Linked DNA regions of Canis lupus familiaris. The main gene of each other region encodes a partner of the protein of the gene in region 3 in a complex. Links are inferred from orthologs where the notes say so. Each region holds a gene or a part of one and is shown on either strand. Other genes may lie near its edges.

Region 1 (5,043 bases), on a different chromosome or scaffold from region 3:
GGAGCTGGTGCAGAAGAGACGCTGCAAGACCAACATCTGGCACGTGATCTGTAATCTGGCATGTAATCCTAAGAACTCACCCACTTTTAGAAAATTTGAATCAGGGCCTGCCAGCAAGGTTAGACAAAATCATCAACTTCTCAAATTGCCTATAAGTCTAAAACCTAAAATGTGTAAAAGGCAAGTTGCTTTAAGACTAACAACTATTGGGATCCCTGGGTGGTGCAGCGGTTTAGCGCCTGCCTTTGGCCCAGGGCACGATCCTGGAGATCCGGGATCGAATCCCACGTTGGGCTCCCGGTGCATGGAGCCTGCTTCTCCCTCTGCCTGTGTCTCTGCCTCTCTCTCTCTCCGTGACTATCATAAATAAATAAAAATTTTAAAAAAATCTTAAAAAAAAAAAAGACTAACAACTATTTACATAAGTTTTTAGAAATTAAATTTGAACACCTTAGTATTTACTTGTAGATAACTCAGTATAGCTTTAGGTACCTAAACTAAATCAAGAGGACTATGAAATATAAGCAGTAAGAAATAGAGAATTTCTGTATTTAGAATACTCTAAATTTTCAGAAATATCACAGCATTCCTAGCTACATATTACATCAGAACTATTTCTTCATTTGAAGCCAGTCAGGTCTATAGAAAATTCAGATAAATTTTTAAAGTAATTAGAAATGTAACACCAAATACATAAATTTTGTTCAAATTAACTACATTTTTCCTTTACTGATCTCTTAAAGTACAAGAATCTTAAATTATGGATTAGCCATAAGCCTAATCAGTAACATACAATCAGCTTTCTACCTCAGGTAAACTAATGAAATAGTAATAAAAAAAGAACTCATGGCTAACACTCCTATTCTAATTGAATATCAAAAAGCTCATACACTACAAATACAGAGCTCATTATCATTCGAAGAGAAGGAATCCACTGAAATATAAAGGCTCTGATTTCTAAAGGGAATATAAAATATATCTACAAAAATATTTTAAATTCAATTTTTAAAGTCTTAGATTTATTTAGAGGTCAATTTGAGACTACAGGGGGAATCAAGCTACTTTTTTTTTTTTAAAGCACCTTTAACTGACTTTCAGCTATAAAAGTAATGTTTGTAGTTAATTTGAAGAGTCTCATGTTTTCTTAAAAAACAAAACAGACCACTTTCGAATAATGCAGAAGAGTCACAAAGCCTTTCCCATCTTCCCTCCCTCTTATCCCCAAACTCACAGGGTAACCTCTACGAACTTATTTCTCCCTCTAAAACTTTAGAAGTTTGTGGACACAGAAACATATTTACATGTTTCCATAGTGGTGGATCTTTTCTCTTTCTTTTTTTTTTTTTTAAGTATACGATTTTGAACGGATGTCCCATGATTATATCTCTTCTTACTCTCTTGTTTTTAACTTAGTTCATACAAAACTAATATAATCATCGCTTCTGAAAGTCTGTAAAACAGTAAGGGTAGTATTATGCCAGTAAATATCAGCTCTTTTATTTTTCATCCCAACAATCCAATTTCCAGAATATTTTAAAATTCAAGTAAAAAAATTTTTTTTCAGGTGTACAACGTAGTGATTTGACAACTGTATGTCGTGCCTCCCACACCACAGATGTAGCTGTCATCGGTCATCATATAAGTGCTGTAAAGATGCCACTGACCAGATTCGTACTTGTCATCCCTGTGATTTATCCACTTCATAACTGGAAGCCTATTTTCTTTTTTATTTTATTTTATTTTTTTTATTTTATTTATGATAGTCACACAGAGAGAGAGAGAGAGAGAGAGAGAGAGAGAGAGGGGCAGAGACATAGGCAGAGGGAGAAGCAGGCTCCATACACCGGGAGCCCGACGTGGGACTCGATCCCAGGACTCCAGGATCGCGCCCTGGGCCAAAGGCAGGCGCCAAACTGCTGCGCCACCCAGGGATCCCTGGAAGCCTATTTTCATTCGTATGCTACATTTATGGAAAAAAGAGGAGAAAAGTCATAAAATACCCTAAGTCCAAAATGATTGGAAATCATTGCAATGGGACAGCCCAGGTGGCTCAGCTGTTTAGCGCCTGCCTTCGGCCCAGGGCGTGATCCTGGAGACCCTGGATGGAGTCCCACGTCAGGCTCCCTGCATGGAGCCTGCTTCTCCCTCTGCCCCTCTCTCTCTGTGTGTCTCTCATGAGTAAATAAATAAAAATCTTAAAAAAAAAAAAAAAAAAAAAGAAAAGAAATCATTGCAATGTAGGGGCAAATGATCACTACAGAACTCATCCATCCCAGTAACACTTCTGTCTCCTAATGTGCCACTCCAAATAGGTTGCGTTTTTTTTTAATGGGGGGAGGGGTTTGAACGCAACAACTTTCACATGATTTCTAAATCAGTGTTTAGCCAATTTTTTTTTTTTTTTAACAATCGTCTGTCTTTTGGAATCTTAAAAACTTAACATGATCTGTGTTTCTGCATCTAAGGAAGTAGGATGGGGGAGGGAGTTACCAGAATTGGTGAACTTCCCCTGCAAGGTCCACAATGAACACTTGAGCCTTAGTGGGGGGGGGGGGCGGGGGGTGTCCCAGATCTCCCAAGATCAATGGACACAGACGTGCCTCTGCGGAGGCTGCACCGAGGCCAAATTCCCAGCCTGCATAACAAAAAGTAAATGATGCTTGGCTCCACGCTGCTCCCTCACCCCCGGGTAAGGGGGGAACAGCTCCAAAAACTGCGGCTGCCCGAAAACTGCGAAAGGGCTGCGGCTCGTTGCATGACAGCACTTCCCCCTTTTTTTTTTTTTTTTCTCTCCTCGAGCTCGTTTCCTGCCTGCCGTTCGGTATCTTCAATTCTACAGGAAGAGGAAGGCCCTCCTGGTGCTTCTCCCTTCTACAGAAGCAGCGACCCTGGGGAACAGAATCCTCATGGAGCAGACCTACCTGCCCGGCCTTTGACCCCTGCAGCCCTCTAGCCAGAGCATCCCCGTTGGGCGCGGCGGCGGCGGCCGGGCTGCAGGCTGGGTCCCCCCGGGCCTCCCCATCCCCCACCCCACCCCTCCGCCTCCAGCGTCCGCCAGGCCCGCCGCCCCGACCCCGAGCTGCCCCGGGTCAGCTCGCCCCCCACGCCCGCGGAGGCCGGAAGCGCTGCCCCGCGCCCCCGGGTCCCGGCGGCCCGAGGGCCCATGGGCGCCGCCGCGAGCGCCGAGGGCCGCCGCGCCACCAGCACGTCCCCGGCCGGGCGCTTACCCCGGTGCCGTTGTCGCACACCACCACCTTCCTGCCCTGGCTGTCCATCGTCCTCCCGGAAGAGAGCCGCCGCCGCCGAACGACCTACAGCCCCCGCCGCCCGGCCCTTTCCTCTTCCTCCTCCTTCCTCGCGGCCCCTCCTCCGCCCCAACTTTCTTCCACCAACCGGAAGTCTCCGCCCGGCCCCACCCGCCGTTTAAGACACGGAACGCACGGAAGGGGCGGGGATAAGAGGGCGGAGACAGAGACTGGCAGGCGTGAGGTCCAATAAGAGGCGGAGACGCGACGAGGCCCCGCCCACAGATCGGGTTTCCGCCGTCGCGGTCACCGCCCACCCGGGCTCTTCCTCGCTGCTTCCGGTTCCGGGAGCTTCGCCGGGCTTTCATGGCGGCGGGGCTGGCGGGTGCTGCGGTCCCGGGCGTCGCAGGAGTTGAGGGGGCTGCTTAGCTGTCTGCAAAAGAGGCAGGCAGGAAGGTGAGGGACCGTGCATCCGTGGCGAGAGGAGACAGCGGAGCGGGCGGACGCAGGGGAAGCAAACCTGCACGTCCCTGCTGACCCCACCTTTGAGCACGGCTTGCGGTTGTCCTTGCTCCCCAGGCCTCTTCGGGGAACAGAACTGGGCTGGATACACACACATGAAGTCATGCGTTTGTCCTGATATCTCCCAATTCCAGCCCACCCCCCACCCTTTTTGCCCAATTTGCCTTTAGTCAAGAGGGCGGTAGTGGGCACCTACCTTTTTAGGCCCGTGGCTCACCACTTCCTTTCCAGCAGCACCCCGCTGCTCCACACTCTCCAGTGTATGCACCTGTTTGCACCCAGTCTCGGCTTCGAAATCCAGCAGCACCTCGCTACTCCACACCTTTCCAGTGTATGCACCTGCTTGCACCCAGTCTCGGCTTCGAAATCCAGCAGCACCTCGCTGCTTCACACCTCACGCCTCTCCAGTGTATGTACCTATTTGCACCCAGAGTCTTGGCTTCGAAATCCAGCAGCACCTCGCTGCTTCATGCCTCTCCAGTGTATGCACCTGTTTGCACCCAGAGTCTCAGCTTCGAAATCCAGCAGCACCTCGCTACTCCACACCTCTCCAGTGTATGCACCTGCTTGCACCCAGTCTCGGCTTCGAAATCCAGCAGCACCTCGCTGCTTCACACCTCACGCCTCTCCAGTGTATGTACCTATTTGCACTCAGAGTCTCAGCTTCGAAATCCAGCAGCACCTCGCTAGTCCACACCTCTCCAGTGTATGTACCTATTTGCACCCAGAGTCTCGGCTTCGAAATCCAGCAGCACCCTCGCTACTCCACACCTCTCCAGTGTATGCACCTGTTTGCACCCAGAGTCTTGGCTTCGAAATCCGACGACCCCAGTTTCAAATACGGCCCTGCCACTCAAGCATTCTGTGATTTGGCCATACCCTCGCCTATGCATTGGAATGCTAACCTCTGCTTCCATGGCTGGTTGTGAGGATAAAATTCCATGCATAAAGTATCCATTCAGTGGTAGCTGTTTATTATTAATTACTTCTAAATGTATCGTTCTTTCTACCTATAATGCCTCTACCTTTTTTTTTTTAAATCCAATCAGGAGATGTCTGCACATCTGCACAAAGATGAAGACTTTGCTGATAACCCTCAAGATGCTCTTTGCTCTTTTTCTTCACTAATTAGTTTATCATGGATATATGCATAATATCGCGCTCATTACACTCAACAAGTATTGGATAAGTGATGTCAAAATTTACCTAGAAAAAAATGCCAGCATTTTTGACAGGTGACAACTACAATTGTGCCTTTCACATGGCTGTGTATGTA
Region 2 (3,287 bases), on a different chromosome or scaffold from region 3:
TGTATCGACCTGAGCAAAGGACAGGCACAGCTTTTTGTGCCTCAGGTGGCTGAAGGCCCTATTCGGTGAAAGCCAGGCTTCTGCCACTGCCTGCTTGGCCTAGTGAGGATGAGGCCAGAGCAGGAAGCTCCCAGCGGCAGCTGGGGGCTCAGCCTGCGTTCCTGAGACCCTCCCCAACCACCATCTCCACCAACGGGAAGCAGCTGCCTTCGCTGACGCAAAGAGAGTATTCTGAAGCCCCAGCCACAAGCAAGCCTGCCTCCCTCCCACCTGGGACTCCCTGTCTATCTCACCATGCAAGTCACCTGTGCCCATGACACGCCTGGCATAAATCAGCAGCTAAAGCAATTCCAATTACCAAAGCCAGTGAACCCTACCAGGTGCTTCTATGGAAGAAGTGAGTGGCCAGAGTCGTCCTACACTGCTGTTCGTGGAGCCCCTTACTCTCTCATGCCTCTCAGACTGTCCTCTGGCCTGCGCACGTGAACCCCAGGGTGGGGGCAAGTCAGCAGGCCACCCGTGTGGGCGGTGCATTCACATACCTTTTCGTGCCACTGGAGTAGCACAGCGCTGCTGTTTTCTGTGGGCTTCTCAAACCCTTTATAAATGTACTTCATTAGCAAGTCAATGCCGTTTCTGTCCAGCGACTGCACAGCCTGCTCAATCTCACTGCTCTTGAAGTTGGTAAGCACCTTCAGCACCACGCCCTGGGCTCGTTCCTGTGAAGGAGAAGGAGGCAGCGATGCCCAGGGCCAAAGCCCAGGCACAGGAATGCCCCACCAACTGGTCAGAATTCTCAGAAACACTGACCAATTACTGACTTGTCTGGGCTGCTTGCAAAATAAGTGCTCAAATCCTCTCATTTATTTACATGTCAACATATCCCTTCTTTATGCCCATAAATTCTTCCACTAATCTGGGGGAGAGTGAGTGGTTTACTGGGGAGAAACCTGCCTCTATGACATGGGCCGGGCCTCAGATGCCACCAGATCACAGCTGTTTTCTTAACATGTCTATTTTCTTCACAGGTGTAAGAAAAGCTGCAGTCTCCCTCTGCACTCACCCCAGTAACACGGGGGGGGGGGGGGGGGGGGGGGGGCATTTCCCCCCACCAAGGAGGTGCAACCGCTGCTGACATCACCATGCTGTCACAAGATGGCAAAACCCCAGCTTCAGAGAGACCCCTCTCCCTGAACCCAAGTTCAGACAGCTTCTAAGCAGCTGTGATGCAGTAAGCATCTTCTCCCCTTCTTTTTAAAAGGCAGGAAATCTTGACTGAAAATCCTTATGCAAATAAAGCCTATTCAAAAACCTTTAAAGCAGAAACACTGCTAAGTCCCATGTGGCAAGCTAATTTAGAGTTTTGCTAAGCAGTAAGGGCTGGGCCAACTTCTCACCCCCATGAGGCCCTGGGGAGGAGTGAATGTTTCTTTGGGGAGCTTTTACTATAAACATAGACAGTTTTGATGTCAGGAGTGCCAGGAGGCTTCCATGGAAGCACTGCCCAGTGCCAACTCACTCTCTTGGTAGATCCTCACTGAGGTGGACGCAAAACAGACCCTGTCTGGAGCCCCAGGGAGCCCTCAGCTGCGGACACAGACAATCACAGCCCTGGTGCGAGCACCACCCAGCAAAGCGGCAGCATGATCCCCTTTACCTTCACAGCTTGATTCTTGGTGTTGACGGGAGAGTTCCGCAAGGCTGCATGGAATGCCCGAAGCATGTCCCCTGTGCATCACCACCAGTTAAGGATGGCTCGGCTCAAGCATGTCCACGCTTCTATTAATGAACTCATTTCAAAAACAGCTCAAAGGAGAAGAGTCAAATGACATTCACATCCACCACCACCCCCACACACACACTTCACTGCAGCTTCCAGGTGGCCACAGCCCATTTAGAGAGTAGCCTATAGCCTTCCTGAGCCACACAAAGAATAGAGAGCACCTCTGCCAATTGTGCAAGTCCCTCGTTCTGCTGCCCCCAAAACACATTTGGACATTTCTCCCCTACCATGGAAGGCAGAAGCAAAGCAAGTGCCCTCTGGGGGTGACCTGCAATAGAATCTGACTGAGCTCACTTGCACTTGCTTGGTACTGGGCACCATGTCTGCCCTGCTGGGTCCTCACGATGATGTGAGACTATCCCTCTCACATTCTCATTCTCAAAAAGGAAGAACAAAGGCACAAATGGAGGTCTCCTCTTTATCCACTGTTTCATTGGTTAAGCTGCTAAAGAAATTAAGATGTGCTAAAACTTCTATCTTCCAAGACCTATCCAGGTCTGTGAGGTCCCAACTACTAAGAGGGAGGTTTATTCATTTAAAAGCTTTTTCCCAAAATATAAGCCAAGCCTTCCCTCTCCCCTCAACCTTAGTTGCAATCTTGACACATTCTTTGCTGAGTTCTGAATACACAGCACTCAAAAGAAAATGACAATCTGGGTTAGGTCCCCAAAGGTGACACCTATTTTAAACTGAATTACATCAGCCAACTTTCATTTCCTCATCTACAACACTGGCTTCAGCCAAAAAGGTTCAAAAATAGAATAAGGAATGGCTTCTGCCCAAACAGGTCTCTACTCCTGTTTGTGCAGTGAATCCTACGTGTGAACAGACAAAGCCACCGGAGCAAAGCCCAGACCCATCTTCCCTAATATGGGCTCCATCTTGACTAAGCTGGGCCCACACCACCCAGGAGCCACTCCTGCTGAGCTCCCAGCTCCCTGCTGGGCCCTGATGCACCTTCCACAATGGAGGCAGCCCACTCCTTGTATCTGCTGGCTTGGAATTCCTTTTCCTCAGCCAGACAAGGGCCAGTCTGGTGTCAGCCACTGATAACGTCTACCTTGGAACTGTTTTCTGGTTTGGCGTTCCAGAGCAATTAATTAACAGAGACTCGGGAGTTTAAAAGAAGTGTAGGCTGGCTCTCTTCACTAACCAGTATGGCTGGAAAACAAAATCATTCAAGAGATGGATGGGGAGGGGCAGGTGAACTAGTCTGCAGGGGCAAAGAGTCACTGCTTTAGTTACCTCTGTACCAAGCAATCACTATAAGTGCTGATGGATACAGAGCCTTTACCAGCTTGGGGGATATCTGGGGAAAAGGGAATGCACAGCATTTATCAAGGTGGCCTCCGTGCTCAGCTCACAGAACAGGCTGTGGAGGCTACAGACCACTGCCCCTCGTCTCCTCTAGATCAGAATTTCTCAACCACAGCACTGACATTTTAGACCACACAACTGATGTGAGGTCTGCATGACATGGTGTTTAGCAGCATTGTGATAATCA
Region 3 (5,097 bases):
CTGGCCACTGTTGCCTCAGGGCAACATCCTCCTAGAGCAGAATCACTGGATTGTTCCCGTGGTCAGGCAAAGCAACAACACAGCCTTCACACTGGGCCACCCCCTGCTGCGGGAACTTTGACTTAATCCTTCCCAGGAAAACCTCCATGGGGGGATGGGAAGGCACCGACTGCCAGCCAGTCACCCTAAAGACTATGCAACTAGAGTTGCTTTTGCCCAAGCCTGTTAACAACACAAAGCCTCAGCAATGGCTCCGGGGACGGGGAGACAAAGGGAGGCTGAGGCCATGGCCTCCAGGACACCCACCCACTTGTCAAGGCAGCCCCGTGAGCCAGCACCATGGGCCCATTTGACTGTTGAGGACAGAGAGAGGAACCGTGTTGGGACTTGGAGTCCACGTGCAGTGATCTGTGCCTCATTATCCCAGAAACAGAGGCTGGGGGAGTGTGGGTCAAATGTGGAGTCTCCCCTGGCTGGCTCCCCTCTGCCAGCCTAACGCCAGGATCTCTGTGTTCCCAGCGGCACGTTCCCTGCGTCCTTTCAGCACACAGTGAAGGCTCAGTACAAATGGGCTGGAGATTACCCAGGGCTGGGCGTGGGAGAGCACAGGGAAGAGCGGCATGAGGTCTGGGAGGGGTTTTGGGTCTCCAGAGTGTGGTTTCCATCCAGAGGGTGCCATGCCAGAAACCATGCACCGGGGTATGGACGCGAACTATCTAGGGGCATGGTAGGTGCTATGTCCACCCACGTATCCTCAGCACCAATTAGAGTTCCTGGCACATAACAGGTGCTCAATACGTATTTCTTGAAGGCAAATTGAATAAATCCCATCCTTTTCTTTAGGGGATAGGCTCCAAGGAATGAATATGCTTTATTATTTCAGTGACATATGTATGCAATTTGTAAATATTTACTGGGGAGTATGTGTTCAGTTTTGTTTTGTGTTCTTCCTGATTAGGGTCAATGATTAGCAAAACTTGGAAATCTGAAATCTAGAAGATCCTCTGCTGAGCACTTGGGAAGAACTCAGCTCCCCTCAGAGCAAAGCAAGCCAGGTAGAGCCTTGGGCTGCCTGACCGAGGGCCTCAGGGCTCCTTCCTTACAGCGTTAGGGTCAAATTCTAACTCTCCATACCAACTGGATGCCCTCAGCCAATACTTCCTTCACATCTCTACCAGAAAAGGTGGGGGCTGAACAAGGCACTAGCTGTAGGTTCCTTATTGCTTCTAGAAAAACCTGGCCAAGGTTCTCTGAAGCCAGAGGTTTGGCTGTATCTGAGGCTAATCTAGGCAGGAGCCATCTGGAGCAGGATCTTGGCCCTACAGGCACTCAGGGAAGTCCCCACCCAGCTCAGACGCTCCAGGGAGTTGCCAGTAAGCCATTTTGTACACGTGCTAAGCAGTTACTCAACTTCCTGTTGTGTATGGAATAGGCCTTGCCACCCCAGACCAGCCAAAACCTCCTCCCCAACTCTGCTCCTGAAGTCTTAACCAGGCAAAAATCAAGTCAAGACACATAAATGAAAACAATCATAGAAAGCACCATAAAGCGTACTAATAAAGCAATCCAAACAAAACAAAATCCAAAAACACATAAAACTCAATGTTGGCAGGGTTGTGGAGAAATTCTCATTTGTTCAGCCTTTCAGAAGAGCGATGTAAAAACAATTCAACAACTGGGTAGGAACAAGCAGAATAACACAAACAGGAACTTAAAAATTAACACTCTTTGGTGGCATAGATTCATTTTGGTGCTAAGAAAATAACCACCGACTTTTTTTTTTTTTTTTAAGCAAACATGTTCATAATAACCCCCTCTAGAATGGTGGAAGGGTGGAAAAATCCAGATGACTACAAATATGGCAAGAGTAAATTGTGACACTAACATGTTGGGATATCATTTAACTATTTGAAAAGACCTGTGTGGATTATGTACATAGACACACATAAACTACCTTTACCGGCATCTTTAAATGCACAGCATTTTTACCCACAGCTTTGACATACATTCTTTTACCCCCAAGAGCAAGCCTAAAGGGTTGTTTTGGGTTTCTTTCGTGTTTTTTTAAACCTTCATTTTGTACATGAGGAAAAAGACTCAGAGTCAAGAATCGGGGATGCCTAGGTGGCTCAGTAGTTGAGCATCTGCCTTTGGCTCAAGTCATGATCCTGGGGTCCTGGGATTGAGTCCCACATCAGGCTCCCCTCGGGGAGCCTGCTTCTCCCTCTGCCTGTGTCTCTCTGCCTCTTTCTGTGTGTGTCTCTCATGAACAGAGATATAAAATCTTTAAAAATAAATAAATAAATAAATAAATAAATAAATAAATAAATAAATAAATAAATAAAAACAAACAAGAATCTCTCAAAGCCACACAGCTCCTACATGGCAGTTTGGGATTCTGACCCCCAAATCTCAGAGGTTAGCATCATCCAGACACTTTGGTAAGTGCGGGCAGGCCCTACAATGGTAGTGGCAGCAGGAAGAGCACCGACCTGTACCCAGCGTGTGCCTGGCACAACCCAGTGCCTTCCACACACAATCCCAGGTAAGCCTCGCCACTTGAAAGGTCCCCATTTTACAGAGGAGGAAGGTTGAGGTCCAGAGCCGTCAGGTGGCCTGCTAAGGAAGCTGGCGCGCTCAACCCCGGCCCGGGGGCCTCCCGGGAACCGGTGCCCGTGGCCGGGGCAGCACCACCTGCCAGGCGCGGGGGCCCGCCGACGGCCTCCAGCTCAGCGCCGCGTTAGGCGGGCGGCGGGCTCCGGGCTCCGGGCTCCGGGCTCCCGCTAGTCCCGCCGGCCTTGCTGTCACCGCCCCGGGCGGCCCCGCTGGGTCCCCGCCTCCGGCGAAGGGGGACCCCCTCCGGGTAGGGTCGGCGGCCCCGGCCCCGGGGCGCCCGGAGGGCCGGGGCGGGGGGCGGGGGCGCGGGGGAGGGGCCAGGTGGGCGGGGGCGCCAGCTCATTTCCCGGCCGGAGCAACCCGGAAGGCTGGAGGATGGAGGGGAAGTGACTGGGCGTGGGGCCCTCGCCGCCCGGAATAGCGGGGGGCAGCGGCCGCGGGGTAGAGCCGGGGAGCGCAGGCCGGGCCAGGGCGCCCCGCGCTCCCCTCGCCCCGAGGCGGCCGCCCACCCCGGGCCCGGGCCGCCGTCCCCGCCCTGCTCTCGCCTCCGGGCGACCCCACGCACCTGGCGAGCCCCCGCCCCGGGCCCCTTCCCCCGGGCACCCCCTCCCCGCGCTCCTGCGCCCCCGCGGGCGCCCCGCACCCTCCCCACCTGCAGGCAACTCCCCGCTACCCCCTGCGGGCGGCCCCAGCCCCCTCACCTCGGGGCGCCCCGGCCGCGGACTCTGGGCAGTCGACGCGCCGAACCGGCTCTGGGCCCCGCGCGGCGCCGCAGCCACTTCCTCGTGGGCGGGGGCGGGGCCTCAGCCTCAGCCCCGCGGGGACCGGGGCGGCAACCAGGGTGGCGGCCAGAGCCCAGGCCCCGCCCACCCATCCGGGGTGGGGGCTGCGCGGAGCCCGGGCGCCCGGCGCTCCTCCGCAACCGCCCCTTGCAACTTTACGCGCGGGGAAACTGAGGCTCGGAGCGGCAGCTGGGCGGGGTGCGCGCCTTCCCTCCTCCCGGAGCTGATGGCCACGGGGCGCGGCAAGTGCAGGCCCGGGACCGGGTGCCCGCGGGCGGGCGGGCGGCCCCCGCCCCTCCCCCGCCCCTGCCCCGCCCCCCGTGCCCGCCGCAGCACCCTCCCGGGGCCGGGTGCCCGCGGGCTCGCACTGACGACTTCCTGCCCCTGGATCCGCCGCAGTCCACTCCTGCCTCCCAGCTGCCTGGTGGCCTTGTGGCCACATGCATTTGGGTCTTGGGCCGAGTGGTCCCCAGGGGTCTTTCTATCCTTAGCCTCTGCCTCATCGGTGGAGATGTGACCAGGTGGCTGCGCGGATGGGGGAGCCCCCGGCGAAAACCCCCTCCTGCGCCCTCTCTTAGCGGGGGGCTCCTCCCCAGGAGTCCTCCCTCCCAGGCGCAGGCAGCAGCAAGCCGCACTGGGGCTCTGTGGTCTTTCCGGAGGCAGGGGATCGGGATCTGGGGCCAGACGCCCACCCTGACAGGTCCCGGGGCTTTGACACATGGTTTTCTTTCTGCCTGGAACACTTCCCCCCCCCCCCCCGTCCCCCCCCTGCAGGGTTTGTCTCTTAGCTCACTCTGTCCACAACCCTCTGCCCTGGAGGTGACTGCGGGGCTCCCAGCAAGACCCTGCGCCCACCAGTCCCGGCTGCCATCAACACTGAATCCTGCCCCTGCAAGGTGGCTGGGAGGATTCCATGTCTCCAAACGTGGGAGCTCTCCCAGTAGTGAGCGCGCAGTGAGCGCTCAGCAAGCTTCGGCTATGGTTTGAAAGGACCAAAGGACCGCCAGCAGCCTTCCTGGCTGAGACTCTGAGGGGCTGGCGCCGCCCTCCCATCTAGCTGTGGCCAGTCCCAGCATGGCTGCGGGATGAACAGAAAAAGTTTCAGATGATCTGTACCAGCACCCCCTTCTTGTGGGGGACAAGTGCAACTTAACACAGAGGGCACATCTGTTGCCTCCCTGGCTTCTAGATGCCCAGGGAATGACCCCAGGGGGAGCTGACCCCCACCTCTGGCATGGGCCTGATGGCTCTAACCCCATCGGCTCCTGGGGTCCCCTGTCCTGAGCTCATGAGCTCAGATGGCCAGGGTAAAGCAAGCCCAGGACATGATGATGATGATGATGATGATGATGATGATGATGCTGCTGCTGCTGCAAGCCCAGGACATGATGATGATGATGATGATGATGATGATGATGATGATGATGGTGGTGGTGGTGGTGGAAGGGAGGGAAGACTCTTCTGGGTGAGCTGCAAGAATCTGAACACGAAAGTGGAACAGCACAAGGGAAGCTAGATGACATAGAGCTCAGGTGGAGGAAATCCCAGAAATGACCAGCACCATGGTCAAACTCTGACTGGTCAGCTTGAGCCCAACCAGCTTCCAGAGGTTTCAGACCACTGGGACCGGTGAGCCGAGGACTCTACTGTTTAAGCTTGGTTTGGGTTGAGACTGTGTTACCCATCTCTAAAAGCATCC
Region 4 (5,120 bases), on a different chromosome or scaffold from region 3:
CATATAACACCAGAAAGTAAAGACCGATGATCTCTGGGCAGTGGGATGATGACGATTACCCCTTTTTGCCTCTCTCTGAGTTTTCTATAAACATTTAATACTTGGATAATTTAGAAAAATTTTTAAAAAGCAACCAAATAGAATCTATTTATTTTGTAAAAGTATTGTTTATTCTTCAGGCCTATGCTCCAATTCCTCGAGTGCCTCCATTAAACACACTGAAATGGTCTCTCATAACTCAGTATTAGAGTGAGATTATTTTCATATGTAAATTTTTACCTAACAAACTACACAGAGTAAGCTCCTGTATGTCAAAGACAATAAACAGTTAAACTATTTGTTGATTCCATGATACTTCAGAGGATTTTGGAAAGAATGCTAAGACACCAGCGTCTGACTCACCTTCACGGCCTGACTCTTGGTGTTGATAGGGGGATTTTTCAGAGCTGCCTGTAGGGCGGCTGTCATGTTTCCTGTGATGGAGGTTAAGGGGATAGCAGCAAAGGGGAGCCTTCAGAAAAACATCGGAACTACCAGGTATCATTGGTTCTTAAGACTTGACTTTATACGTAGAAAGAAAAATTACCACGATCGCTATGTTCAATATTGGAAAACTCAGTATGTTGGTTTCAAGGATGTCAATCACATGTAAAACACAGAGAACATAAGAGGAGGTAATAAGGCAAAGACCAGTTCCGGCCTGGCTCTAATTACTAAATGAACACTTCGAGAGCCTTTTATTTTCCAGTAAGACACATATGAAACATTATTCAGAGTGATACGTATATTTTAAATTACATATCTACGTATTAGAATTATTAGGTCCCCAAATGAAACAGCATACCCTCAACCAAAATGTCTTTTTATGTGATTCTTAACTGGAAAAATATGGACCAAACTTTTGCTAGAATTATATTCTATCTTAATTGAAATACTTGTAGAAAATGCTGGTAATTATTCCAGCACTCTACATGATACACATTAGTAACCTCTCAATATTAACAAAAGATCTAATAATTCAATGTCCTTTAGGCTGTAGCTTAATTTTTCTGTTTTGCATATTTTCTCTTATACTTCCAAAAAGGTCATTGACACTGTTTTAGGTCATACCTATTAAATTTAGTCTTTGAAAGCACCAGTGAGTTAGCAAGTATGAGACACGGAAGGCCAATCAGACTGTCAGAATATACAGTCATTCCCCTAAAAGGAAAACCACAGAGTTCATTTGTTCCTCCATCTGTAGTGCCTGACTAGAGCTGGTCTCTTCTGGTTGCAACAAGAGAAGAGACAATATCTTTTAAGATAAAGAGATTAGAAAGCAGATCCATTTTATGGATCCAGCCGTACCAGTTGAGAGTCAGCACCCATCAACCTAAAGTTAGTTCACAAAACGTCATTTATCCATTACAAAGAATGTTTTCAGACAGAATAATGTTCATTGCTTATGTTTGGAAAAAAAAGAACAAAACAAAACCAAAACACCCCAAAACAAAAACCCCCTATGGCTGGTGGTAAGCTGTTATTTCCAAGGCTTAACAAACTTCTAGAAAAGCTTCCTTTGGCAGACTGGCTCATTTTTAAGACCTTAAAGCACTTACGTATTTAAATAATGCAACAGAGCAACAGCTGACTGTGAGAGTTGTGGAAATCAAAGAAACATCTGTATGTTGGTAAATGTTTAATGCTGTATTTTAGGTGCCTTTAAGACTAGATATAGTCACAACCAATATTTTCACTCCTATTTCCCCATTATACTTTAATAGAACATTGATGAGGAGAGGTTTAAAAAGTCTTCCCTATCTTATGAATACATTCAAGAATAATTAGAAGTGAGTGAATTCAGTAATTGAGAATCTCTAGAACTACAGCTTTAGCTGTTGCAACATTTACATTTTTCTAAAAGAGATGTGGTGCCAAATACTCGCTCAACACTGATGAATATTCAAATATGCAAAAAAAAAAAAAAAAAAAAAACAACACCAAAAACCCCAGGAACTGACAGCCGCATTTTAACTGAAATGGAAATGGATTTCAGGATTGCAAAAAATAAAAAATAAAAAAAATAAAAAATGATGCTGCTTTGCGCAAAATGACTCATCGTCTATTTTGCTCATCATCTACTTTATTCACTGGGGCTTATCTTAAATATTTCCAGGGATTCTCCACCTGCCATCCCTGTGCATTGTCCCCTTGCTTCGCAGGTAGAAGCCTCCAAGCTTCCTTGTCGGGAGCTGGCCGTTTCGTACTCACTCCGTTTCCCCGGGGCTAACACATTCGTATCTGCAACAAATTCCTTTCTCTGTAAATAACTATAATTATTAAAAGGGCCCAGGGGCTAAAAAGGCCAGGGGGCCTCGACCGTGCACACCGCCCCATGCCTCCCCGCGAGGAATGAACTCTCCTAACGCGGCCGAAGAGCGAACCGCCAGCACCACGACGCAGGCAGCCCGCTCCCCGCAATCGCACACCTCCGGAGGGGCGGGGGGACCTCCGTGACCTCGGGCCCGGGCCCCTGCCCCTCCCCCCGGGGCCGGCGGACAGCAGCCGAGGCCTCCCCTCCGAGCCCCGAGGGCGCGGCCGCCCCGCCGCTTCCCGGGGCAGCGACTCGGGCCGCCACCTGAGGAGTCGGGGCGGGGGCGGGCTCCGGGGTGACCCGGGGTGACCCGGGGTGACTCGGCTAGACGCGGGAGCGCCCCCGGCCGCCCGTCCGGCGGACCCCGCAGGGCCAGAGCCGCCGCCCCTGCCCCGGGAGCGGCCCGGCGGGCGGGGTCCCCGGGCGGGGTCGCGGGGTCCCGGGGCGGGGCGGGGCGGGAGCGCGGGGAGGCCGGCAAACGCCAAGGATATTGCCGCAGGCAGGAGTCCACCTCGCCTTCGTCGGGCCCGGCCTGCCCGTCGCCCCCGTCCTCCTCGTCCACGAACTTGTTCTCGTCGTACTCATCCACGTCCACCTTCCGGAACCGGGCCGACGACACCGTGTTCTTCGACATCGCGAGCCGGACCGGCGGCCTAAGCCTCCTCTCGGTGCTGCCTCGCCCTCGGGAAGCGCAGCCCACCAGGAACCCGCAGCCCGGGCGCCTTCACTTCCCTCTTCCGCTCTGGGGCGTCGCCGGCAGCCGCGGCTCGGACGCTTCTGGGCCTGCGCGCTGGCGGCGCTCCTTCCTCCTCGGCGACATGCTCTCCGCCCGCCGCCCACGCCGCCCCCGCTCCTCCCGGGCGCGCGCGCGAGGGACGGCGCGCCGGGCGCAGTGCGCAGGCGCGGGCTCGCGGCAGGAAGGGGGCGGGGCGGGGCGAGGGAGGCGGGGGCGGGCGGGGGCGGGGCCGGGGGCGGGCCGAAAGCGGCGCCGCGGGCAGAGGTGAGAGGCGATTGGCCGTCCGCGGGCGTCACGTGATCCCCAGGGGGTTTCCATAGCAACGCTTCTCTGCGGTCCCGCGGAAGGGGGGCGGCGGGGGTCTTAGGCTGGCGGCTATGGGCTCTGGGGGCGGGTGGCTCCTGCTGCCGCCGCCGCCGCCGCCGCCGCCGCCAGCGACCTGTCGCCGGGGTCCTGCGTGAGGTCCGGCTGGCCCGGACTTGCCTGTGGGGTGGGATGGACTGGTGGCCGGACCGAGTCCCCTGCAGTTGGCAGGAGTATGGGGCGGAGTGATGCGCGCCCGGGCGCCCAGCGTCGGTCTAGTTGTCAGAGGCATCACTTGGGACCGTGCGCTGCCCGTGGCTGCGTTCCTGAGCCGGGAGCCCCTTTCCCGGGGCTGGAGCTACGCCGCGCGGCCAGCGGGAAGTCCCCAAGGACGGAGTCGAAAGGTCGTCTCTTATCTGGCTGTGCTGTGTGACAGCATCCCGACGGCACCTGCAGAGCCTGAACTAGGTATCATCTCCTTGGGGAGGGAGACGGAGGTTCTGGGCAAGGGCTCGCGTGGCAGACCTGGGGCGGACCTGTGGAATTTGGGGTAGGGTCAGTCACCGGCATCTTAAAAATAAGTGGTGGTTTGGAGCAAGCACGGAAGAAAAGGATAGGGGCGAGCTATGCCCTCCGGTGCTGTGGGGAAACAAAACGTGTGAGGATTAGTAGGTTTGAGATGAAGATTTATATTTGTGATTTGAGATTTATATGATCCTGCTAGGCCAGCTTTTTATTACATTGGACATCCTCGTTTCTGAGAGCAAAGCCCTTACTGAGGAGGCAAAGGCACTAACACTAAAGAAATGGTAGTTGTGCTGTGTGTGTAACACCGAAGCACAAATATTTGCAGAATAAAATTATTTTGGACATTTAGCTGGACGCTGCTCAGATAGCTTTATGTTTTCCTGACATCCTCTCAGGTCTCGTTCAATTCCACCTCTAGCAGAAAGCCAGCTGTTGCCCTGTTGATACCCCAATCCTTGGTTTCCTGTGCTGTATTGAAACGAGCCCTGGACTTAGAATCAAAAACCCTGGCTGAAGTATTGACTTCCACTCATAATCTATTTGATTGAGGCATGCCACTTAAAATCCTCAATTTCAGGTTCCTCGTTGCTAAAGTGGAGCTAATAATAACGTACTTCGCGAGATTGTTCTGAGGACTAAGTACGGGAAAGTGTTCTGAAGCTCTAAAATTCTACATAGATGCAAAATGCATGTTACTTGTACCATTGATTTTGGCGTTAGTCTTACGAATTACTTAATGACATATCATGTTTTATCTTGCTCCTGGAAGAGATCAAAAGATTCTGGAGGGCAAAGACTTGCCTTTTATTTATTTTGTATCTTGCTTTACATCTGATGTAATGCTAAGCATGCAGGCAGTGCTCAATACATTCTGGTACTCAATTATTCATTGATGAATGAATAAAATGTGAAAGGCAGTACAGTTTGAAAGTCACACTGAACATAATGAATCAGTAAGAAAAGGAAGAGAGATCTCAAAATCAAACATTTGTGGGACAGATATGCATACATATGTATATATGTATAGCTGTATCTACACTGACATATATACATAGTTGTATATGTATGTATGTGGATATATATACATGTATAAATATATGGAGAGAGACTGAAAGAGTTCACAGGAATGGAATGCACCCTTTCTTCTTGGAAGGAAGAAGCAATATGGCATTTTTCTCCTCCCAATTAAACCACCCTTCT
Region 5 (4,856 bases), on a different chromosome or scaffold from region 3:
GGCCACTTTTTCCTGTCATCTTTTTCCTAACTTATATAATGAAATGGAATGATCATCCAGATTCAGGTTATAACTCTTCATTTATATTAAGTGGGTAATTGTAATTACAGACCAAATAGATGAATGCATTCTCTAAAGCACAAAGGAACACACAAATTATAGGTGAACAATTTGCATCTGGGGACCACAGTACTCTGAAACATAAAACTCCCATGAAGGCCTTACTTAAATATGCTTATCGCAGGCCCAAGCTCAATGAGCCATCCTCTATGTGCTAATAAAGCTGCAGGTATAACTTTCCAGGAGTTGCATTAGATAGCCACCACAAAGGACCATGAAACCTTTAGAAGACCAAAATAAATGGAGCTCTGACAGATGGTAAAAAAGGTGGGAGACAATGGGGACTCCTAATCAGTTCCATTTAAACCATGAGTGCCCATTAAACCACCTCACCTTGTGAAGTAAAACTAATGCAATAAGGTAAAATATAGTAACGTAATAATTGAAATACTAAAACAAAAATAATCCTAAATGTAGACTGAAGCCCTTGGGGACCTCCCGGACACTCAGCCTGTCTTAAATTCAGGGTTGCCCTAGCAGGAGGAGGTCAGCTAAGGACAGTCAACCTCAATGATTAATACCCGAATACTAACTCAAAAATAACCAGAATTTATTTCAAAAGGGGAAAAATGGGGGAAAAGTAACATTCTAGTTACCATTAGCACTACAATTATCCACACTAATTTTATTAACCCAATAATTTCTAAAGCATAAAATATTAATTATATAACAGTATTTCTCACTTTAACAAAACACACTTGAGGGACACCTGGGTGGCTCAGTGGTTGAGCGCCTGCCTTCAGCGCAGGGCGTGATCCTGGGGTCCCAGATAGAGTCCCACGTCGGGCTCCCTGCATGGAGCATGCTTCTCCCTCTGCCTGTGTCTCTGCCTCTCTGTGTATCTCTTATGAATAAATAAATAAAATCTAAAAAAACAAAACAAAACACCCCACACTTGAAAATTCCTTCTCACTCAGGACAAATCTAATTTTAAAACTGACCCTAAGCATGAAACTACTCCTCAACTGGATCGGGGGGGGGGGGGGGGGGGGGGGGGGGGGACCTGAGTCAAGAAAATTAGGATTAAAAAAAACAATAAAAAAAATATATATATACAAAAAATAAAAATAAAAAAACAATAACTTTAATAAGCTGTCCATCAAAACAATACATTTAGAAGTTCCACGGCTAAAAGTAGGCTGGTATTTTCCAAAGGAGAATAGGAGAATGTTAATAAATCGGCTGTTTCCACATGCATGGCTGGGATTTTTGAAACTGTTACACTAACAAAGTCGTGAGTATGAAGATTAGAGCTTTAAAAAAAAAAATAGAGCCGTTTTACGGGGAGTAAATGGAAAGAGGGGCATACACAATCCTTGATGCAACGAAGGTCTGCTGGATGATAGAAGGCAGGGAGCAAGGGCTGACACTCTACCTCTCATAACCGACTCCCCCTCGGTGTATTATTTTGCGAATTAGGAATGAAACAATGTATCAGCACAGGACGGACACACACACCCTCCCAGCGCTGCAAGGGAAACAAGTCGTTCCACGTTAAAGTACAGACTATTTCCTATGAAAACAACAGTGTGCCAAAATCCCAAAACGCCTATTCATACACTTCAACGCCGTTCTACACGTCTACACGCGACCCTGCGCACTGGAACCCCCCGAAAAGCAAGCGCACCCCGCGGCCCCACAGCCTCCGAGGCCCCCCCACCCCCCCCACCCCCCCCCGGCGAGCGCGCGGCCTCAAGGACTTTCCTGGGGCTTCCCTTCTCCCCCCCTTCCCGGAAAACACTCGCACGTCTGTGTTCAAGTCCCTACAAACTGATGTCGAGGGCCCGTAATTCAATCCATTTCAAATATGCTCAATCCTAAAAGTTCTAATACGAGGTGTTCAGGTTGGAAATGAAAAACTACCTTATAAGGGTATAAAGGGCTGAAAGCAGGAAGCGGCTTTGAGAAAACTAAGGAAGTTGCGGCGCGCTTGCTCACTAGGGGACTTTTTTTTTTTTTCCTTTTTTTTTTTTTTTTTTTTTTCTGTCCGAGGCAAGACGAGTTAACACATGACATCCTTCTCTCTCAAATTAAAATGTGCCCGTGGCTCACCGGTGCGAGCGCAGGAGGCGGGGAAGCCCGGGGGTCGGACGAGGGGCGCGCGGCCCGCCCGGTGGAAGCCGCGGCCCCGGCTCGCAGGTTCGGCGCCCGGGCGCCCCCTTCCCCGCCCTCGGCCCGAGCCGCGCGGGGTCCCCGCGACCCGGAGCACCCGCCCGGCGTCCCCCGCCCGTCCGCTCGGCCCCGGCGCGCCGGCAGCAGGAGGAGCCGAGGGGCCGGAGGCTGAGCGCCGGGCCCCGCAGCGCCCACCCGCCCGCGGCTCCGGGGGCACCTCCGGGGGGACCCCGCCGGGACCCCCGCCCCCGCCCCCGCCCCCGCGGGTGACGCCCGGCCGCACCGCGGCCCCGGCCCCGCGCCCCACCCCCGGCAGCCCGACGCCCGGCGGCCGCACCCCGCCGCGGCGCATCCCCGCGCCCGCACCCTCGCCGCCATCTTCCCAGCTCCGCCTCAGTTTCCCCACCCTCCTTACCCCGTGCCACAGTCCACCACACAGGCCGGCAGCCGTCCCGCCATCTTCCTCCTCGCCTGCCGCCGCCGCCGCCGCCGCCGCCGTCTGCTCCGTGCGGATTGGGGCCGGAGCTATCTGACCATCCACAGCCGGGCCGGCCTCTCCGTCCGGGGGGAGCCGGGAAGCCGAGGCAGCAGCGAGCAAGCAGCAGGCTCGGCCAGCGGCTACCACTTCCGCAACCCGGGCGGGCAGGCAGTCCCCGCCCTGCCCCGCCGCGGCCTCCTCCCCCTCTCTCTCCCCTCCTCCTCCCTCCGGCCCCCACCCTACAACTTCTTCCCCCCGCGCCGCCTGGCCCCGGGAAGCCAAGATGGCCGCCGGCGCCGCCGCCCCGGCCAGGCCAGGCCCAGGCCGCCCGCGCTCCCCCTTCCGGCTCCGAGCGGGAGGGGCGAGGGAGCATGCGCAGTGACGTGGCCCCGCCGGCCGCGGCGCCCGTCCCGACGTGAGCGGAGTCCGCTCCGGGCTTTCCCGGACGGGAGGGGCGGGGCGGGGCGGGGCGAGCGCCCGGGGCTCCTGGAGCTGCGGGAGCGCCGCGGCGTCCGTGCCTCCTGCGCTCGCCGCCCGGCGCCTGCCCCCGCAGCCCCCCGCAGCCCCCCGCGTCTTCTCCGGGGCCCCGGGGAAGACTGGCCCAGTAGAAAACGTCCTGAGCGGCACGACACATTCTCGTCGCTTGGAGACGCTGCTTTTCTGGGTGGAGGAGCGCGCGGGCAGACGGAGGGCGAGCGGTCGGGAGGGTTGGGGCGAACAAAGGCTTGCAGCCGGCTGCTCCGCCTTCCTGCCGGTTTCTAGGCTTTTGCACCTGTGCGTGGGGACATTGTCTGGGTCGCAGACGCCCGGGGGCAGGCCTGTCCCCGCGAGGAACACACCCCCCCCGGGAGCACCTTCCACATCACGCACTCTGCGCGGATAGTCGGTTATTCGCCGCTTTCGAATGATGACAAAGATGCCCTCAGCAGTTTAAGATTCTGCTGTTTTGCCGGCAGGATTATGCCGATGATCAAGGAGCGAAAATAATGATAATAATAAGGGGGAAAAAGGTCACATACTGGACAGCCTAGAACAATGGTTTTCAAATTTAAGTGTGCATCAGAATTACCGAGAATGCTCGTTAAAACCTTGATTGCTAAAAACAAAACACACAAAAAAAAACCTTGATTGCTGGGCCGCATCCGCAGAGTTTTTGTGTAGGAGAAGGGCCTGGTAACTTGCATTTCCAAGACGTTCTCAGGTGATGGTCTGGGACCCCACCTGGGGAACCTAGAAGTTTAACAGCTTTCCACCAGGCTTGTCTTCTGATAAATCTTCCATTTGCTTATATGGCTGAAATAAAAATATTTTCCCTAAGAAAGGATGTCTTATGCACAATGGTAAGTTGTTAGACTGGGCAGTGGGATGGAAAGTGGGTTTTTCATCCGTTTGACATGTTAAGTATCGCTCACATCCTCCATTATGGCAGGGATCCTGCTGCCTCTGAATAGTCTTTGGGCACAAAATACAGAAGGTCCCTGCTCTCAAGAGTTCACAGTTTAATGGGAACATATAAATTGTGTTAAAAGCATTAGAAGAGAGCAACAGGCTACAAGATACAGAGATGAGGGTGGGAGAATGTGAGGGAAGTAGAATATAGGGAAGGCTTCTCGACAAAGTGACATTTTAAAGGTGAAGTAGAAGATAGGGGAAAGGGTGAGGAGGAAGGGGAGCCGTCCAGAAGGGGGAACAGCAAGGGTCAAGGGCCTGAGGTGGCAAAGAGCTTGGCCTCTTTCACAAATTCAAAGACCTAAACGGTCCAAGTGAAGTGAGCTAAGGAAAATGCAATGGGAGGTGGAGGCCGGGAGTTAAGGAAGAATCACACCACAAGGATTTGCAGACTTCTCCACCAATCTTAAAGTTTAGCCTAAAAGCAGCCTGGAAGGCATCAAAGAGATTTAAGCAAGGAAACGTGGCTGCTTTGTAGGGAATGGACCCCACAAAGTAAAGAGTGAAGTGAAAGGTCTGATAATACATTGTGTGCTATAATTCAGGGATAGAATTATGTGAGCAGTAACACCCAGATGGGATCAGACATGTGCAGAAGACCAACGTAGGGGAATCATCATGACCAACTAGTGCCCAGCAATCCACAGCTACTCCTAGAAAATAGATAAATAATCCTCCAGGGAAGCTTTTCTCAGCA
Region 6 (5,014 bases), on a different chromosome or scaffold from region 3:
GTTAAATTTTGAGCAATTATTTTTAAAATATTTTAATTATTTATTCATGAAAGACAGAGAGAGAAAGAGAGAGAGGCAGAGACACAGGCAGAGGGAGAAGCAGGCTCCATGCAGGGAGCCTGATGTGGGACTCGATCCTGGGACTCCAGGATCACGCCCTGGGCTGAAGGCAGGTGCTAAACCGCTGGGCCACCCAGGGATTCCCAATTTTGAGCAATTAAAAAAATTATTTAAATAATCTGCACCCCACATGGGGCTCGAACTCACAACCCGGAGATCAAAAGTTGCATGCTCTTGGGATGCTTGGGTGGCTCAGAGGTTGGGCATCTGCCTTTGGCTTGGGTAGGGATCCCGGAGTTCCGGGATCAAGTCCTGCATCTGGCTCCCTGTGGGGAGCCTGCTTCTCCCTCTGCCTGTGTCTCTGCCTCTCTCTCATGAATAAATGAATAAATCTTTATATTTTTTTTAAAAAAAGAGTTGCATGCTCTTCCCACTGAGCCAGCCAGAAGCATCTATGTTTTGAGGAATTTTGAAAAATATTGAGGCAAGCTGGTTATTAAAAACAGCCGTTAATGGGATGCCTGGATGGCTCAGCAGTTGAGTGTCTGCCTTCGGCTCAGAGTGTGATCCCTGGTCCAGGGATTGAGTCCCACATCGGGCTCCCTGCATGGAGCCTGCTTCTCCCTCTGCCTGTGTCTCTGCCTCTCTCTCTCTCTCTGTGTCTTTCATGAATAAAGAAAATCCTTAAAAAAAAAGCCATTATTAAAAATTAAATTATGTAAATTTGCATTTAAGTGCATTATATTGAAAACAAATGTGATAAATGCTGAAAATTCATTACTTCATATTTTTAAAAATTATTTTACTACTGTCTATGATCTTAAGGTTATATATAACTTTTGTATCTTTGTGGCAGAAATGCTATATAATGGTGTGCTACTGTGCATCTTCCAATCCCATATTCGGTGATATCACATTGGTAACTGGTGGGAGTATTTATGCTATGGAAATAGGCAGACACTATATAAATCAGGGGTACATCACCCCACCAGCTCTTGTTAAACCAGAACCCAAACACTGGCTTTTCAGTTCTGCCACTTCCTGGCTATGTGTTTGACCAAGACATCACTTCTCTTCACCTGTTTCCAAATTCATAAAAAGAAGAGTTATCTACTGCCCTCAGTGAGTTAAAGGAGCAGGGAAAATCCCATTTATTTATTTATTTTTTATTTTTTAAAGAGTTTATTTATTCATGAGAGAGAGAGAGAGAGAGAGGGAGAGAGAGAGAGGCAGAGACACACAGGCAGAGGGAGAAGCAGGCTCCATGCAGGGAGCCCAATGCAGGACTCGATCCCAGACTCCAGGATCACGTCCCAGGCACCAGGCAGAAGGCAGGTGCCAAACTGCTGAGCCACCCAGGGATCCCCGATGTCTGGCTTTTAGTAACAGAAAAGCCCCATTCATATATTCATTCATTTACCAAACGATTATCAAGCACCTTCAATGTGCAAAGCATCATGAAAAAATGGTATGCAAGACCAGTATCTCTGCCCCTGAAGAACTTTCAGGCTAATGGAAGAGGCAGATATTAAATAAGTTATCGCAGGGAAATCCAGGAATGAGCACAGGACTTTAAAGTCCTAGCCTTAAGGAGCACCTGGGTGACTCAGTTGGTTAAGCATCTGCCTTCAGCTCAGATCACAATCTCAGGGTCCTGGGACCAAGGCCCATGTTGGGGTCTCTGCTTAGTTGGGAGCCTGCTTCTCTCTCTCCCTCTGCTCCTCACCCCTGCTCAGGGCTTACTCTCTCTCTTCTCAAATAAATAAAATAAATAACTTTATTAAATAAAATAAAATTAAAGTCATAGCTTGAAATATTGCAACCTTGGGTAAGTTATCATACTTCTCTGGGCCTCAATTTCCTTCTCTGCAATACGGGAACAATAAGCATGGACTTCACAGGGTTATTGTGAGGATAACATGGAGTAACTTACATGCAGTGTATAGTTCAGGGCCAGTCTGGCACACGTCAGGAATTGAATGGTACCAACAAGACTCATTAAGTATCTCTAACTATAGCTTGCTCCTCTTTGTCATCAGTAATCCTTTACCTAAAGCAGCCTCCACCCTCTCCTTCACTAGCTGTCTTGTTTGTTACCCATCTATTTCCTTCATTGCATTTGTCACTACCTAAAACTATCTTAGGGACAGCCAGGTGGCTCAGTCGGTTAAGCGACAGGCTCAGGTCATGATCCTAAGTTGGTGGGATAGAGCTTCTGGCTCCACACTAAGTTGCAGACTACTAGTCCCTCTCCCTCTGCTGCCACTTAACCCCCTCTCCCTGCTGGCACTCTCTCTCAAAAAAAAATCTGTAAAACTATCTTTTTCAATTTACATATACACGTTTGTGCTGTCTCCCCATTAGAATGTACACTCTTTGAGCCTAGGGATTTGTTGGCTTTATTCACTGCTGTAACAGTACTTGGCATGCAGCAGGTACTCAGTAATGTTTTTTGAGTGAGTTTATCACGTTATTGAACCTCCTTTACCTCATCTGCAAAATGGAGACCATGATGGTGGTGAATTCACTCCACCAGACTGGCTGTCAGAAATGAAGGACAACCAGACACTACTATCATCTTGCTCCTACTCTGATGCACACGAAAACAGAAGCATTTGGAAACCAGGAGCGGACCCTGCGTCTGCTCTGGCGGCCCTACACCCAGCAGCTAGGGGTGGCCGCCACTGCTGGGGAGACAGAGGAGTCCGGGAAGTGGGGTATGGCAGTGACAAGCAGCGGGAGGAACCCGCCCCCTGGGGCCAAGGAGGAAGTGGGCCTGTGGGGGGAAGAAAAAGCAGCCGGATCCTAGACTTGAAAAATGGAAAATAAAAAGCACAGCCCTTGTCTTCTCGGCTCCAGTGAATCTTTGGGGATTCTGCTGGAGTCGGGGGATACAGAAAGAAGGAGAGAAGGGGCAGCACTGCAGCGAAGAGGGCGAGAGGGGCCGAGCCAGCCTCCTCTCCACGCTCAGGGTCTTTGGCCCCAGGTGCTCCGGCCCCGTCCCCCTCGCCGACACCCCCGGGCAACCCCATCCTACAGCCACAGGCCCCTCTTCCTAGCTTCTCCCCTTCTCAGGCCCCGCTTCTTCTCTGCCCTCCTCCGCCCACTTCTCTCAGCTCACGCATGATTTCTCGCTGCTCTCCCAGTTCTCACCATCTCCCACACTGCGAATTGGCCTCCTTACCGGCATCTTGGCGGCGACCGGGTTTCTAGCCAGACGAGGCTGGGGATAGAGCTCGGCGCTTCCTGTCCGGCGGCCCGGGCGGGGTAGGCGGAAGTGAGCCGGAAGGAGAGGGGGAGGGGAGGACGCGGCACTTCCGGTCTCGCGGTCCCGCCGGAAGCTGCTGCGGCTGCGCAGGGACGAAGGGGCGCCAGAGGGCGCCCGAGCACTGAGTAGGGATTGTGAGTGCCGTGCATGGTAAAGTGTGCGCGAAATGGGGCTAGATCTTGGGTTTCAGAATCCTCGGCATCCACCACTTCCTTGATTTTTCCTCAAATTTCATCTTTCTAGGAAAGCATTCTCTGGATCACATTATTTTAAATTCAGTCCTACCCCACTCCTCTGCGTCATCCTGATTTCCTTATGATTTTTTTTTTTTTAAGATTTTATTCATGAGAGGAGGACAGAGAGGCAGAGACACACACAGGCAGAGGGAGAAACAGGCTCCATGCAGGGAGCCCGATGTGGGACTCGATCCTGGGCCTCCAGGATCATGCCCTGAGCTGAAGGCAAGACACTAAACCGTTGAGCCACTGGGCTGCCCTGTTTTGTTTTTTTTTTAACCTAATCTTAGAAAGCACTTCAAATGTTAGTTTGACTTTCCTTTCTTCTACGACAATAAAATTTCTAAAAATTATGCAGATCAGGGTGTTCTCACCCTTTCATACTCAGGGCCACAGACAAGAGTCCTGACACAGGACAGCACATTCCCATGATGCCCATTCAAGTTCTCTCCTGCTGGCCGTACCTCTCCACCGTACAATAGCTCACCTTGATGGACTAGGATGCAAATACTTGACTTATGCCCCTGGCCTAACCTCCCAGACACAAGTTACCACTGATAGCTGTGGTTCTTCACACATGGGGCATCTTTAGTTAAAATGGATCAAACGTGACACTGCAGGTGTACTCCTGCTACCTAGCCCAAGAATGATGAAAAATTTAACCTGTTTCCAGTTTTCTGTAAGGGTTTAATTTGTATCAGCTGGAAGATCCAGGCCCAAATAGCCAAGGAAGACTGGGCTGTAATGAGGATTAAATGAAAGAGATTATGTAAAATGTTTCTTAGCACAAGGTCTGGCAGAACTCAATAAATTAGATTCTGCTTTTCTTAACAGGGCCTAGCCCATCACAGATGGACTAGACACTCCCCATTGCTTTCATACCCAATGCTACTGAAAATAAACAATTCAATCAAGGTGCAATTCTTTTCTTTAAGAAGAAAAAAATGTCTTTTGCCTTTTTTGTGCATCTGCTATTATTACCCAGGAAAGTATAAATTTTTAAATGCTCAGACACAATTGCATTTTTAAAGAAATCACTGGCTACATTTTGACAGTTGGGCAAATTTAGTCATTCAAAAATTTGCCCTGGATGAGTATTTCAGATTCTGACTAAAAAACAGGAGTGTAATGAAAAGTTAGCACTATTTTTATATTTATTTTATTTATATACATATGTTTTTTAAAAGTTAATTTTCATTTAATTACACAAATGATACATTTTCAAATATAGGAAAATTCAGACATACAAATAAGCAATGGTCTTAACTATATCCTAGATTTTTTCCTTTGGACACACATGTGTATATTGTTATAATAATTCCTGCCTCTCCAAAAAAACCCTCAAAAATAACAAAAATCAAACAGGAAAAATAAAGGTAGACTGAGTCCTAACTGTACCACAGATGCTCATTTATATTATATGCAAATCTATGTGCATTCATTTCAATTT

Evidence for each region.
Region 1: ARPC1B (region 3) and ACTR2 share a complex: the UniProt entries of both Homo sapiens proteins name them as parts of the arp2/3 complex. The link is inferred for Canis lupus familiaris from reciprocal best matches to the Homo sapiens genes ARPC1B and ACTR2.
Region 2: the proteins of ARPC1B (region 3) and ARPC5L are in contact, whole or in part, in a cryo-EM structure (PDB 6YW6), measured with the Homo sapiens proteins. The link is inferred for Canis lupus familiaris from reciprocal best matches to the Homo sapiens genes ARPC1B and ARPC5L. Residues at the interface, in NP_005711.1 of Homo sapiens: Arg118, Lys138, Arg142, Phe164, Ser201, Gly203, Trp204, His222, Asp223, Ser224, Thr225, Leu240, Ala241, Ser242, Glu243, Thr244, Leu245, Pro246, Phe281; in NP_112240.1 of Homo sapiens: Asn21, Lys22, Arg102, Gly139, Leu140, Gly141, Ile144, Arg145, Thr148, Arg150, Lys151.
Region 4: ARPC1B (region 3) and ARPC5 share a complex: the UniProt entries of both Homo sapiens proteins name them as parts of the arp2/3 complex. The link is inferred for Canis lupus familiaris from reciprocal best matches to the Homo sapiens genes ARPC1B and ARPC5.
Region 5: ARPC1B (region 3) and ACTR3 share a complex: the UniProt entries of both Homo sapiens proteins name them as parts of the arp2/3 complex. The link is inferred for Canis lupus familiaris from reciprocal best matches to the Homo sapiens genes ARPC1B and ACTR3.
Region 6: ARPC1B (region 3) and ARPC3 share a complex: the UniProt entries of both Homo sapiens proteins name them as parts of the arp2/3 complex. The link is inferred for Canis lupus familiaris from reciprocal best matches to the Homo sapiens genes ARPC1B and ARPC3.

The regions. Positions count from the first base shown.
Region 1 is NC_049231.1:65,985,176-65,990,218, reverse strand, and holds the start of ACTR2 (actin-related protein 2), read right to left. Parts: upstream 3,411-5,043; 5' UTR 3,276-3,410; coding exon 3,228-3,275; intron 1-3,227. UniProt on the Homo sapiens protein: ATP-binding component of the Arp2/3 complex, a multiprotein complex that mediates actin polymerization upon stimulation by nucleation-promoting factor (NPF).
Region 2 is NC_049230.1:58,229,272-58,232,558, forward strand, and holds part of ARPC5L (actin-related protein 2/3 complex subunit 5-like protein), read right to left. Parts: intron 1,731-3,287; coding exon 1,658-1,730; intron 720-1,657; coding exon 543-719; intron 1-542. UniProt on the Homo sapiens protein: May function as component of the Arp2/3 complex which is involved in regulation of actin polymerization and together with an activating nucleation-promoting factor (NPF) mediates the formation of branched actin networks.
Region 3 is NC_049227.1:10,284,368-10,289,464, forward strand, and holds the start of ARPC1B (actin-related protein 2/3 complex subunit 1B), read right to left. Parts: upstream 3,465-5,097; 5' UTR 3,318-3,464; intron 1-3,317. UniProt on the Homo sapiens protein: Component of the Arp2/3 complex, a multiprotein complex that mediates actin polymerization upon stimulation by nucleation-promoting factor (NPF).
Region 4 is NC_049228.1:16,863,479-16,868,598, forward strand, and holds the start of ARPC5 (actin-related protein 2/3 complex subunit 5), read right to left. Parts: upstream 3,165-5,120; 5' UTR 2,988-3,164; coding exon 2,845-2,987; intron 476-2,844; coding exon 403-475; intron 1-402. UniProt on the Homo sapiens protein: Component of the Arp2/3 complex, a multiprotein complex that mediates actin polymerization upon stimulation by nucleation-promoting factor (NPF).
Region 5 is NC_049240.1:36,616,454-36,621,309, forward strand, and holds the start of ACTR3 (actin-related protein 3), read right to left. Parts: upstream 3,017-4,856; 5' UTR 2,692-3,016; coding exon 2,648-2,691; intron 1-2,647. UniProt on the Homo sapiens protein: ATP-binding component of the Arp2/3 complex, a multiprotein complex that mediates actin polymerization upon stimulation by nucleation-promoting factor (NPF).
Region 6 is NC_049247.1:8,505,354-8,510,367, forward strand, and holds the start of ARPC3 (actin-related protein 2/3 complex subunit 3), read right to left. Parts: upstream 3,323-5,014; 5' UTR 3,251-3,322; coding exon of another isoform or gene 3,245-3,250; 5' UTR 3,217-3,244; coding exon 3,214-3,216; intron 1-3,213. UniProt on the Homo sapiens protein: Component of the Arp2/3 complex, a multiprotein complex that mediates actin polymerization upon stimulation by nucleation-promoting factor (NPF).